Linked DNA regions of Oryza sativa Japonica Group. Each later gene encodes a partner of the first gene's protein in a complex. Links are inferred from orthologs where the notes say so. Each region holds a gene or a part of one and is shown on either strand. Other genes may lie near its edges.

Region 1 (6,332 bases):
CACTAATTGATCTTTACGGTGCTTTCTCTATCAATTTGAGAACTCTATCCATAGAGTAGTATAGGCCATACTTTCTTTCTTCCTACTTTTGATTCTCGTGAAGTGTCCTTTCTTCCTACAGCTGATAGGGCAAAATCGTTGTTTTGACGATCCCTATGCTAGAAAGCCCCCTTTTCTCAGTCAAATACTAGAAAATTTGATCCCTTTCTTATTTTTCTTTCTATAGTGGAGATAGTCGCACGTAATGACAGATCACGGCCATATTATTAAAAGCTTGTGGTAAGAAGGGGTTTCGTTCTAGTGCCCGGAAATAATATTCCAAAGCCTTTGTATGCTCTCCATTGCTTGTGTGTATAAGGCCTATGTTATAGAGTATATAACTTCGATCATAGGGATCACTTTCTAGTCGCGTAGCTTCATAATAATTTTGCAAAGCTTCCGCATAATTTCCTTCGGATTGAGCCAACATCCGTTACGGTCGTTCGTTCTATTCAAAAAATCTCCGTTCCAAAACCGTACATGAGGTTTTCACCTCATACGGCTCCTCCCTTCTGTACATAGTACTAAGCGAAAAAATCTAGAGAATAAAAATAGAATTAGTTCCATCTCATTATGGACCGAAAGGGGCTGGTAATTTTTCCAAGAAATCTCTAGCCAACCTTCCCACAAGAGGTTTTTCTTAACACCAATGAATTCTATTAATGCTAGAGGAAAACGATAGCTCCAAGAATTTCTTTGTTCTCAACGCCTCCTATTTAGAGGAATTAGCCACTTCAACGATCTTTGATGGTTATAGGGGTATCCAAAGTACAAACTTGATGGTTGTTTGTTATCCCAACCATTCTTCCCAGCCCTGATACCAATCAGGAAAGGGTTAATTTCTAACAAAGTTTTTCTCTTGTTGATTCCTATTTCTAGGTGTAGTGCTTTTATCCCCTATGCTACCTATTAGTACTAGTAGAGTAGGATTAGCCTGTAATACAGAACCTATCCTGTAGGTGTAACCTTTCGCTCAATACTAAAATCTACAATTGAAGCATCCGAGGCCGCGTCAGTCGAGGATACACGACAGAAGGAGTTGTTAGTTCACCTCACCTTCCCTAAGCGTGGTTCCCTTACTAATTTGGTTTTTCTCTCCGCGAACCCCCCACTCTTTTCTCGTTAAAACCGGGGTGTAGGTAGGGCTAAAAAAACAAAAAAAAGAGTCAAATCGCACCATCTCTATAATAAGTAAATGCCCTTTTTTCCCCGGAGGTTGTCGGAATTATTCGCAATAAAATATTGGCTACAATTGAGAAGGTCTTATCAATGAAATTTCCATTTATACGGGATCTAGGCATAATTCCCAACCCATTCTATCATTCTATATAGAATTCTTTTCATTCCTTCACAAAATAACATAAAAAAAAAACAAATCCATTCAATTCTTATCAAATCGATCCCTATGCTCCAAATGGATAAGAGAGGTATTTCTGCTCAGCCCAAATTCTCTCTTTTTCCTTCTGTTTGAACAAGAAGAGATAGAAAATATTTGACTAAGATTGGATTTCATTCCACTTTCCTATTTCTTTTCTCAACAACAACTTCTCTCATCAACTATTTCGCATTTTCAAAAGTCATTAATCGTCCCATACCCTATTTTCTATTTGATTGTATGGGGTAGGATACCTTATGCAAACAGAATTCTAGGGTTCCTTTTTTATCGAATAAGAAGAATTCTTCCATTCTCTTTTTCTTTGGTTTGGGGAAAACCCAAACTAAAACTTTTCGAGGGAGCGGAATTCCTAGTAAAAAAATCCTGGACCCGTCCACTTAGATGAAAAGGAATTTTTCTATCTAATAGAACAATGGAACTCTCGCGCGGTTGTGGTTGTACCTGTACTGCAGGAATAGGAAAACTCGCTATTCACTCAGTTTTTTTTCCATAATAAGATTATGGAGGAGAGATGGCCGAGCGGTTCAAGGCGTAGCATTGGAACTGCTATGTAGACTTTTGTTTACCGAGGGTTCGAATCCCTCTCTTTCCGTTTTTCTTAATTCAGCAACGTTAATGATTACAATGTATCAAATCAAATGACAATTTATTCCAGCAATAATACAATACCTTTATTTAATAGAAATTCTCTATACCAAATTACTATGGTATGTAAAATACACATAGAGGAAAGAACAAAAAACAAAAAGGAATCCTAGGGTTAATCCATTTCTGTTAGGTGAATGGGAAAATACGAATTAAGAGCCTTAGGTCGATTTAGTTCGGGGAAAGGGGAAGGGAAGAAAAATTCTATGAACCTTTCCGTTTTTCCTTAAGTTCAAGTTTGACGAGAGTAATATTCTACAACTAACAACTCATTTATTTTGAGACCGACCCACTTCCTATCCAGGATTTTTTTTACTAGTCCTTTATATTGCAATGTGTCAATCGTCAAATGCTTTGGCAATTTCCCCGGGTCGGATGAAGCAATAGAATTTTGAACCAGACGTTTTGATCTTTGGTTATCCTTCGTAGTAATAATATCTCGGGGTTTGCAACGAAAACTTGGTATATCGACTATACGACCATTAACTAAAATATGTCTATGGTTAACTAATTGCCGGGCCTCGGGAATGGTTGAAGCCATACCTAATCGAAAAAGGATATTATCCAAACGCATTTCAAGTAATTGTAGTAAAACCTGACCTGTTGAACTTTTTGCTTTTCCAGCGATATGTACATATCTAAGTAATTGTCGTTCTGTCAGACCATAATGAAAACGCAATTTCTGTTTTTCTTGAAGACGAATACGATATTGTTCTTTTTTCCCAGAATGGAATTTCTTTTTCAGATTACTTCCGGATTTAGGTGTTTTTCTAGTGAGTCCTGGTAAAGCTCCCAGACGGCGTATTTTTTTAAAACGAGGTCCTCGATAACGGGACATGAAGACTCCTTTTTTTATTGAAATTTCATTTTACACAATTAATTTCATTGTATTTACATTACAGAATACATCGAAATTAAAACTGAATTAAAGTAAAGGATAAACAGAGTAAAATCTACTAAAAGTACCACAAAAAAATGGAATTTCATCAACATCTGAATTTTTGTATATATATTATTTATTTTATTGTTTTGTATCTAGCAAAATTGTAGGGTAGACCGACATAATAGATCCTGGCTTCTCCATTTAATTCGGAGAAAAAGAGGTATTTTTGTTCATGGAACATTGATAGAGAAAAAAGCCGACTATCGGATTTGAACCGATGACCCTCGCATTACAAATGCGATGCTCTAACCTCTGAGCTAAGTGGGCTTACATAACAGAAATAGTGTAACAAATAGAAATATGTATAGTATAGGAAATCCGTAAAATGTCAGATCTTAATTATTAATCTTAGCTATTAACTAGTTCGAAATTGGAAGTTCTACTTAGAAAAAAATACTAGAACTTCATAAAATAAAGTTAGATAGATTTTTTTGAACTTTCTTTTTTCTCTAATTCGCAAATCTATTTTTCTAATAGAATCTATTCCAATTTCTATATTGAATTTGATTTTAGATATTTTTAATTTGATATGGCTCGGACGAATAATCTAATACATGGAAAAGAATAAATAATATATATTATATACGAAAACATAATAAAGAGAACATGCGAATTTCTTGTATTTTCAGTCCATCATTATAGACATTTTTTGAGATTATTTTGTTTTTTTTTGTTATTTGCTAATAATTTAATGATTAATATTTCACTAAGGAGAACATAGAATCATAGCAAATGAAATTGCTAATTCTGATTAGCAAAAAAAAAGAATGAATATCAAGCGTTATAGTATGATTTTGAATACTCTAAAAAAGGAACGCGGTAGGTGGGGGAGAGAAAAACCTTGGGATATATTGATTCGCATTGAATTGCAAATACATCAACGATAGAATCAATTCAATGCTGAATTGCAATAAGCGGAGTCTCTCAACTAGAGACGAACCGCTAGACTACATAGAGTAATGAATTCAACGATTCAAAAAAAACTAACAGATGGAGGAAATTGCACAAGGAATCCTGGTCTCAAAGAAAAAGAAAATGGGGATATGGCGAAATCGGTAGACGCTACGGACTTGATTGTATTGAGCCTTGGTATGGAAACCTGCTAAGTGGCAACTTCCAAATTCAGAGAAACCCTGGAATTAAAAAAGGGGCAATCCTGAGCCAAATCCATGTTTTGAGAAAACAAGCGGTTCTCGAACTAGAACCCAAAGGAAAAGGATAGGTGCAGAGACTCAATGGAAGCTGTTCTAACGAATCGAGTTAATTACGTTGTGTTGCTAGCGGAACTCCCTTCTAAATTAGGGAAAGAAGGGCTTTCGAAATCTAATACCACGTATAGATACTGGCATAGCAAACGATTAATCACAGAACTCATATCATAATATAGGTTCTTTAATTCTTTTTTAAAATGAAAATAGGAATGATTATGAAATAGAAAATTCATAATTTTTTTAGAATTGTTGTGAATCCATTCCAATCGAATATTGAGTAATCAAATCCTTCAATTCATAGTTTTCGAAATCTTTTTAAAAGCGGATTAATCGGACGAGGATAAAGAGAGAGTCCCATTCTACATGTCAATACTGACAACAATGAAATTTCTAGTAAAAGCAAAATCCGTCGACTTTCTAAGTCGTGAGGGTTCAAGTCCCTCTATCCCCAAACCCTCTTTTATTCCTAACTCTAGTATTTATCCTGTTTTTTTATTAATAGGTTTAAGATTCAATGGAATACATTTCTTTTTTATTATAGTATCGGCAAGGAATGTCGATTATTAACTCGATATTTAAATATTATTAAATAGGCTTTCTTTGTACAATGCATAGGACTGCCCCCTCCCCATTTCCAAATTTTGGATATTGACATAGATACAAATACTCTACTAGGATGATGCACAAGAAAAGGTCAGGATAGCTCAGTTGGTAGAGCAGAGGACTGAAAATCCTCGTGTCACCAGTTCAAATCTGGTTCCTGGCACAGAAAAAAGGGATCTTCCGAATAGGTATTGATACAAATACCTCGAGATGGGTTGGGATACATATTCGTTAATAATATAGATAGAGTATGATTTTTTCATCTAAGTAGATAAATCTCTAAATAGAGGCACTTCTTTTTCTGCATTTTTGCATTTCTTAATTTTCTATTCCGCTATTCCGACAAATATTTTTTTATTCTTGCTTATCTTATCTTACTTTACTAGTTGTTCTAAGTAATGCACGCGGTACAAAGTTCGTGGTAGGGAACTTCTTTGAGTCATCATATTTTTCTGTTCATACGAAGGAAATGAATATGTGATTTTCCAACGAAATGAAGCCCTTTTTTGCTTAGTCTATCTGAACCTTTTGTATAATTGGAATTAATTAGAATGTAATAGGTATTCTGTTTCATCTAGGAACAGAGCGTAAAAATATTCCTTGACTTGCATAAAATCTGGAGTTGTGTTGTATAAGTGAGCATGAATTTCTTATCATTCAATGAGCATCTTGTATTTCATAGAAATTGGGGGTTATATAGTCCTTACGTAAGGGCCAGCCTATCCAACTTTCAGGCATTAGGATACGTTTAAGGCGTGGATGATTATCATAAGAGATTCCCACCATATCAAAAGATTCGCGTTCTTGAAAATCGGAACTTCTCCAAATCCAGAAGACAGATGGGATTCTAGGATTATCCTTTTGGGCAAAGACTTTTATGCATACTTCTTCTGGGTTATCTATACCATACTGTATTCTCGTAAGATGATACACGCTAGCTAAAGATCCACCGGGTGCAACGTCATAAGCACATTGGGAACGTAAATAATTGTAACCATATACATATAAAATGACAGCAATGGAATCCCAATCCTCTGCTTTTATTTGCAAAGTCTCTATTCCTCGATGATCGAAGCCCAAAGATCTATGAACCACCTCATGTTTGACTAGCCAATTAGATAACCAACCCTGCTGCATTATCTTGATCTCTCCTCCTTTGTATAAATATTTCGCAGTTCGAATGCAAGTTTGAAATATTGCCCTGCTCTTTCTTTTTCGGCACAAAGAGCTCCTCCTAATTCACTAATTTGTAGGAAGATACTGGACTTTTGGATTTGAAAAAAGTTTCAGAAGATATGTCTAAAGTAGATGGTGATTGATAGAGCAATTCTTGCTCATAAGTTCCAGTATTAGTACTGCGCCGAACATAAAGCTTGTGGCTGGTAGTAAAACATCGATTTTTCTTTTGAGATAGAGTTCGATCCTCAACTATTTCTCGCGATATCTTCTTACGAAGTTTTGTTAGGGCATCTATAACAGCCTCTGGTTTAGGTGG
Region 2 (7,401 bases), on another chromosome or scaffold:
GGACCTAAACGAGTGATCTGCAAGTTTAGGGACGGGATGACACAGTCGAACAAGTTTGAGGACCTAAACGGTCGATTTGCGAGTTTAGGGACCGGGATGACACAGCGGTAAAAGTTTAGGGACCGGTGATGGACTTTACTCTTTATAATATTGTCTCGACAGTTTGGATCCAGCTGGCGAATCAAGCCACAGTGCATATTTGTTTTAGGTCCGCTTTTCTGACCTACCAAATGGGCTGAGAGGTCGAGTTCACGTGAATAGATGTGCTTTTATTAATGGTACTCGTGATAACCCCCTTTATATTGATCACCTCAAGTTGATCCGTTCCACTCCTATGCCGCTTGTTAATGTACTTGCTTATTTAGATGAGTGTTTTTTCGTTACTATCTCCGCAGATGCATCATGATTCGGTAAATATATAAAACCATTTCTTTTTACATGACTAAAGCTAAAACCCAATATCCTTCCCTTTGTTTTAAAATAATCAAACACACAATTACATAGCCATGGGAGAGATCGAACAAGCTGTACTGTGAATATGTGAGTATCCCAAACGGTTTTCTTTGCCAAACTCACGGCAGTGCAGGCCATAAGCGTGACACAGAGGATCGATCTAGGACTAGGACAGCAGCGGATCCGTACACCGGAACTTTTAATTTGATGAAGTAGTACTAAACATGGCAGCTCGAACAAAACTAGGTTTTAGAGATCCAATTCATGGTGGAACCCATGCATGTGAGCACCACGGGGTGATGCCTCACCAAACCGCCGTGCTTATCTGACTCAGCCTCCCCTTAAAAATAAGAGACAAAGACCACCTGATCATGTCGAAAACGTCCTAAGAGAAAGGATAATAATACAGCCAGCTGCTTACTTATAGCCTATCTATCAGCTCACTCGTATAATGGTTAACTCTTCACTATAAATATATGGTTCACATGTCTGTCTCACAGATTTTCTTGGTTCCTGTGCCTAAGCCGGCTGTAAACTTACAGCCCGCTTCTCATCTCTCTCCTCTTTTCTCCTATCCACTTCAGCATTCAGCTTTCTTATAGCTCACTATTATACTTGCTCTAATCTCGATCGATCGATCGCCCATGGTGGCAATAGTTTAATCCCCAGAGGCCACAAGTGTCAATCATCAGGTCGATGGGAAGAAAAGGGCAAGATGACGAGATTGACGCCGTGCAGGGGATTCCCAAATGGGGCTGATTCGTCCTTTTCAGGTGTACATTTCCCATTTTTATACTGCCTGCCTGGAGCTCTGCGATGAACTTGGACAACTTTATAGGGAAGCTACGTATACTTTGCCAGCCTCTCTCTCCGGTTATCGCAAGTAATAAAGCCTAAAGCGGCACGTTACTCTGTAAGGAAGTTGAGTGTTAAGAAGGTAAAGATGCCATCTGAGCAGTGCATTACACAATTGAGTTGATTGGTCAGTCTCTACTATAGTAGTAGTACTTACCTTTTTCTTATGGGAGGACAGTTGGTAGTGCTAGCTAGCTTAACAATATTCTACTTTGATCATAGAAAACAGTACTAGTACTAAGTTAGTACTACGTTGTCGAAGAGGAAAAAAATAAGTTATCTCTTTGGGACTTAACAATACTCTGTTTCCTTTCATTAGAAAAAAAAAAATCAGTACTGCTAAATAAGCTTATCTTCTGGTACACGCGGTACAGGTTCTCCATTATTTTTTTTCCTAGCGAGTCCAGCTTCCTGCTTCCCTACCTAGGAGGTCCAACTCCAACCCAACGCCTCCATGTGCCTTGCCCCTCCTCCCCCCTTGGCCGAGATGATGATAAGCTGCTACGCCTTGCTCAGTTGCTCCCATGCCTTTTGAACGCTTTTGAGACCGTGACCAAGCTGGCGCGGCGCTGCATGCGGCGTGAGAACGAGCGTCGCAGCACGACGCGCGGGCACCACGACGACTCCACGAGTCCACGAGCGTTTTCACGCTCGTTTCGCACAGGCTCACGCGTTGCCGCAGCCCGTTTTGCAGAGGCCTACGCGTGGACGGCCTAGGCTCGTGGTGCGCGGAGCGGGCCGGGCTTTTTCAGGGCATCACCGGTGTTAGTTAATCGCAGTAGAAGGGGTATATGCCCCCGTGACCCCAAATCTCTTCGAAAGAAAAGAAATTCCCCTTTTTCTTCAAGTTCAAAATATCGAGTTACATTTATTTAACTGGATCATGGTATAGTAGTATCAAGAGGTATTAGCAATCTTCCCTGCGGATGATGGAGCCCAAATCGTTTACCTTACAGAGATCAATCACAATTCATTTCCATAAACAAAACCGTATCCGAAAACAGTTTGAATCGATCTACAGGGTCATGTAACAACAAAGATCCGTGTAACCAAAGCAAGAAAAAAAGAAACAAGGTTCTCAAGGATGGGAGAATTGAGATATCCTCTTAGGTTGACAAGCTGCCACCACCCTGTTGCCAAAGGTTGATGATATCAGTGGCCTGATTCAGAAGGATGATCATCTGTTTCTGAGAGATCCACTCTTTCTCCTCCAGCTTTGCTCTTAGCTCCTCCCAGGCATCTTTCCGTGGCCAGAAGTAGTATGGGCTTAACGGAATGCTGCCATAGCCGGGAACCAACTGGTCGAGGGCTATGCCAATGTTCTTCTCCATCCATATGAACTTCAGAACAAGCATTGGATCCTGCCTTTCAGGCACCTTAACCTTGTACTGCGATACAAAATCAATTCGTTTCAAATCTCATAATGCTAATACTGATTTTGCATATCTGAGTAAAATAAATTGTGCAGTTTTAACACAGCTCAAGTCGTAGTAAAATAAATTGCAACAACTACTGTACGTGTTCCATTGACAACTTCATTTCTCTACAAAAGGCCCCATTTTTCAACTGTGAGGGTAACTCCCATATAATCAAAACTAATCCACTTTTAGTGTACATCTCTGAAATCTGATATAGTGATGAAAAAGGAACTTATTGTGCCTGTTAATGTTGTTACATAATCACGTAAATAGCTGAATGAAAAAAAACTCCTTTCATGACCAAAACCTGTCAATGCTACAGTTTGTTCAATAGTTCAGTTCTTGCTTACACATACAACCAAAAATGGCACACGCTCAAGTTTGTGGACATGCTTTCATGTGCTCTTCGCCTCTTCATCACTAGCATACACCTTTTATCTGCAGAAGTGCAAAACTGCACCAAAAGGACAGCCCGAGTGCCCAAACATGCTCAACTAGACTAGAACTTCTCTAATTTACTCTACTTGTGACTTCTCTTAAGCTTTCAGCTGTGCATTGTGTCTAAAGATTTACTCTACTCGTGAATTCACCCAAATGTACACCTCGTACTGTATTTCACCTATGAGCTCAAGTAATCAGTTCGGTAACCAAAATTGATTCAAGAAAAATCAAATTCATGCGAAACCAAATGTGATTGAACTCCATCCTCTTCAAAAAACAACACTTCCTTCTGAAATTGAGCTCGACTCGGTAAAAAAAAAAACCCCGTAATTTCAGTCACTGGCATGGTTTGGAGCGGCTACTAGCCCATTACCTCCTGCGCTTCCTCGCCGGCGCTCGCATCCCCACCTCCGACTTGCTTCTCCTCTTCTCCCTCCTCCGCTTCGACGGCGCCAGAAGCGGCGGCGGCGGCGAGGCCACGGAGCGAGCGAAGGGGAAGCCTCCTGCTGCCGAGGTGGACGAGGCGTGGAGTGGAGGAGGAGGAGGTGGTGCAGGGGGAGGCGGCGGAAAGCTTGGGCCGGGAGATGCGGGCGCGCGAGGCGAGGGCCGGCGTGGCGGCGGGGTGGACGGACATCGCCAGCATCGTGTCCGAGTCCGAGGCTCCTGTGCGGATAAGAGGAGGAAGACGATGGTGCGGGGCTGCCTCCTCTTATCTTTACCCTTAATAATCCCCTTCTCGTCAGCTATTAGATGTGGGCTAGAAAGTTATGGTAAAGCCCAATATGGCCCAGCACAAAACGGCCCGGCCCAGATCCAATCTAAGTAAAAAGCTCACAGCTCAATCGTCTCGGTTATTCGAGAATAAACGAAATGGCATATTTGTAAATAAAAAATAATTTGTGAATAAATCTTTTATATATATATTTTTAACGATCTAAAAGCAAAGACTGAAAAATAAACCTTCGATAAAAAAAATAAAATCAACCCCAAATTTAAAGGTAAAAATTTAAATTTTGACTGATAAACATAAGTATAAGCGAAAAGATGAGGCCGTCCGTTTGCCTTCAGCAGGGTTTGCAAAACCGTCTGTAACCGTGCGATTACCGCGCTTACCGTGGGGTACGGTAAAAGGGAAACCGCGGTAACCCCCTTAAATTCAAATAAATTTAAAAAATAATTTTAAATTTTGATAAATTTTACACGGTTACCGTGTGGTAACCCCGGTCCGGTGGTTTGGGAAACCCTGGCCTTCAGTAGTGCTAGTGCCCAGTTGCCAACCGCTTGGGCGTAGTAAAAACTGATAGTGGAATGAAATGAACCGGGTACAAAGTACTGAAATGATCGTAAGTTTTGAAAAAAAACAAGCAGGAGTAGTAACTTTGCAAGTAAGGATGCTACATTCTCTGATAGTAGTTTCAGTGTTTTACACATTCTATAAGAACACCGAACAAAACAAGCATCGAATTTCAAATGTCGATACAGCCTTGAACAGTTGAAGTTCTTGCCCACAAGTTTAATCGAAAGCATTGTCAGGTTAACCCAAGAACGTGATTAATAATTACTAACATTAATATTAGTCCCATCTTATTCGACAATCATTGCTAAACTATTTACTGTGTCATGAGATCGAATCAAGTTTGATGCCGGCGAGGTTTTCTCCGCTCAGAAGTCCGGCGCCGGCGAGTACGCGTGGGAGGCGGGCACAACCACGGCCGTCGACATAGGTGCCGACGAGGAGTTCACCAGGTTCAGTATGCTGTTCCAGTAGTTCTTCTCCTCCTCGGTCTCCTGGAACTCGCCGTCGGCTTCCGCGTCTCTCCCCGCCGGCCTCGGGATCTGGTTCAAGGAGCCTTCGAGGAGTAGGCCCGTGAACCCCGCTCCGGCGCCGGGGAAGCCCACGTCGGCGGCGTCGACGTCGCCCCAGTGCTGGTCCTTGCACGCCTCGTCGTACGCCTGCATGGGCTGCATGGCGGCGCGCGCGGCCGCCGCGGCGGCGGCGCCGTGCGCCTCCAGCACGGTGGCGAGCACCGCGCTCTCCGAGAAGCTCAGCGTGGACGTCGGCGAGTCGAGGCCGTGAGCCGCCGCCGCCGCCGCCGCCGACGCGGGGGGTGCCGGGAGGTGCGGCGCGCCCGGGGTCGCGGAGGCCGCGAGCGCGCGCAGCTTGGCCTCCCGAGCCAAGCGCGCCTCCGCCTCGAGCCGCGCGCTCTCCCACTGCGCCGTGTGGCTGAGGTGCGCCGCGGCCTTGGCGTGCTGCGCGCCCGCCGCGCCGCCGGCCGCACCTCCGCCGCCGCCGCCCGCGCCGGCCACGTCGGAGCGCGGCTTGTGCGTGACCGGGTCGATCCCCATCTTGGCCAGCCGCTTCTTTAGGTGCGTGTTCCAGTAGTTCTTGATCTCGTTGTCCGTGCGCTTCGGCAGGTGCGTCGCGATCGCCGACCACCTGCAAAACAACAACAACGCCAACGCCGGCCAAGAAAAAAGATCAGGAAAATCGCACGTCAAAAGCCCTCCATTCGCAGTGACAAAATTAAACAAACAGCACTCTTGAAAACGTAAATAATCGGCGGTGTGATTTAAGGCGTGCGTGGCGTAGTACAGACAGAGGGCAGAGATGATCGGAAGCTGTGAGTCAAAATGGGAAGAGGGGCAGGTGGCAACAGTGGACCAAACCCCAGTTTTGGTCCACAATGATGGGGGGGCTCGCCTCCTTAAATGACGAGCTTGAATGCCGAATCATATGGGAGAAAAGAAAGGAAAATTCTGGGCCGAGCCTCTCACTGCCCAACCTTTTCACACTTTTTCCCTTGTTGATGCATGCATTGATTGGTCTGTGCTCACAGCTAATGCGTGGTTGTTCGACGGGCAAAAGATGAGCAATGCAGCATTACGTGTGAACAAAACGAAAACAAGTGATGATTCTGTTCTAACGTAAGAATTTTTAGCCTAGCTTGTGTGTTAATCTATGGACAGTACGGTTTGTTACGGACAAAATGCTGAAGCAGGTGTGTACGGGGACAGCAAGTAAGTAGCACGGCCTGCGAAATTTACACATCCCCTGGCTAAGCTCCGTGTTCCAACCCTTGCATTGCATAACCCTTTCATAAATGTCTGCCAAGACTACGGTGCAGAATGGTGGCTACTGGCTAGTGTGTTCTTGACCTGCCGGTCAGCAACAAGTACTAGCAGTCAAAATTCGTGCAGGAGAATCAAGGGTTCCATCGCGATTACGGAATTAAATGTGCTCCGGGTGCGAGGTGAAGAACGAGCGAGCAGCTAGCAGGAGGGAGAGTTGTGCACTACGTATCTTGTATGCATGATGCATCCATGCGAAAACGAAGTAATCGATCACCTGTTGCCGAGAAGGGCGTGGAGCTGGATGATGGTCTGCTCCTCCTGCAGGCTGAACTTGCCCCTCTTGATGTCCGGCCGGAGGTAGTTCGTCCACCGGAGTCGGCAGCTCTTGCCGCACCGCTGCAGCCCTGCACACGATTGTCACGGTTTGCATGCACCTCAGATCAGAGTTCAGAGAGTAGCCAGCCTCGAGGATCGATCGCCTCGACCGAACATTGCAGCTAGGATTGCAGAGGTTGAGAAGAAATTTAAGCTAGATAAGCGGCGCTTACCGGCCTTGGAGGGTAGCGAGCGCCAGCAGCCGTGGCCGTGCTGCTCGATGTAGGCCAGCAGCTTCTGGTCCTCCTCCGGCGTCCATGGCCCCTTCTTGAGCCCCTCCTTCTCGCAGCACGGCGATCGCCCCATCGCCGGAGAAAAGCAACAGCAGCAGCGAGCTCTAGGAAAACTCCTCCCCGATGATCTTCGACGCCCTCTGGTTCTTCCTCCTCTCCTCTTCTCTCGGGCTCAAGTAGTAGGTCTATGTGTAGTAGTACGTGATCGAGGCAATTCACTACGAGAGATCTTCTTTGCAGGGAGCTGTGGCTCTCTGCGAGTGACTAATGCAGCAGCAGAGTCAGTGAGAGTGTGTGTGTGTGTGAGAGAGAGAGAGAGAGAGAGAGAGGCCAAAAGCGAAAGAGTGAGGCACATTGCGCTGCGTAGAGGCATAAATAGAGGAGAGGAGAGGGGGTACGGTGTGGCTGGCTCGGCACGCACGACTCGACTCGGCTCGCGCGAACGACTCGATATCTTCTTCGGGCGCCGCGATCTCCTGCCGGCAAAGTGGCCTCTCACTGTCAGTGTACGTAACTCCACCCCGCGAGAGGAGTAGGGGCAGGACCGTGATTTC

The links. The genes of interacting proteins can lie anywhere in the genome.
Region 2: rps4 (region 1) and small ribosomal subunit protein cS23 share a complex: the UniProt entries of both Arabidopsis thaliana proteins name them as parts of the 30S ribosomal subunit. The link is inferred for Oryza sativa Japonica Group from reciprocal best matches to the Arabidopsis thaliana genes rps4 and PSRP3/1.

Annotation. Positions count from the first base shown.
Region 1 is NC_001320.1:42,498-48,829, forward strand, and holds rps4 (ribosomal protein S4), read right to left. Parts: upstream 2,919-6,332; coding exon 2,313-2,918; downstream 1-2,312. Other genes in the region: photosystem I assembly protein Ycf3, read right to left, coding at 242-471, 1,217-1,340; ndhJ (NADH dehydrogenase subunit J), read right to left, coding at 5,495-5,974; ndhK (NADH dehydrogenase subunit K), read right to left, coding at 6,072-6,332. UniProt on the Arabidopsis thaliana protein: One of the primary rRNA binding proteins, it binds directly to 16S rRNA where it nucleates assembly of the body of the 30S subunit. With S5 and S12 plays an important role in translational accuracy.
Region 2 is NC_089038.1:23,518,039-23,525,439, reverse strand, and holds small ribosomal subunit protein cS23, read right to left. Parts: upstream 3,863-7,401; 5' UTR 3,811-3,862; coding exon 3,541-3,810; intron 2,697-3,540; coding exon 2,415-2,696; 3' UTR 2,253-2,414; downstream 1-2,252. Other genes in the region: transcription factor MYB106, read right to left, coding at 4,830-5,604, 6,514-6,643, 6,788-6,920. UniProt on the Arabidopsis thaliana protein: Component of the chloroplast ribosome (chloro-ribosome), a dedicated translation machinery responsible for the synthesis of chloroplast genome-encoded proteins, including proteins of the transcription and translation machinery and components of the photosynthetic apparatus.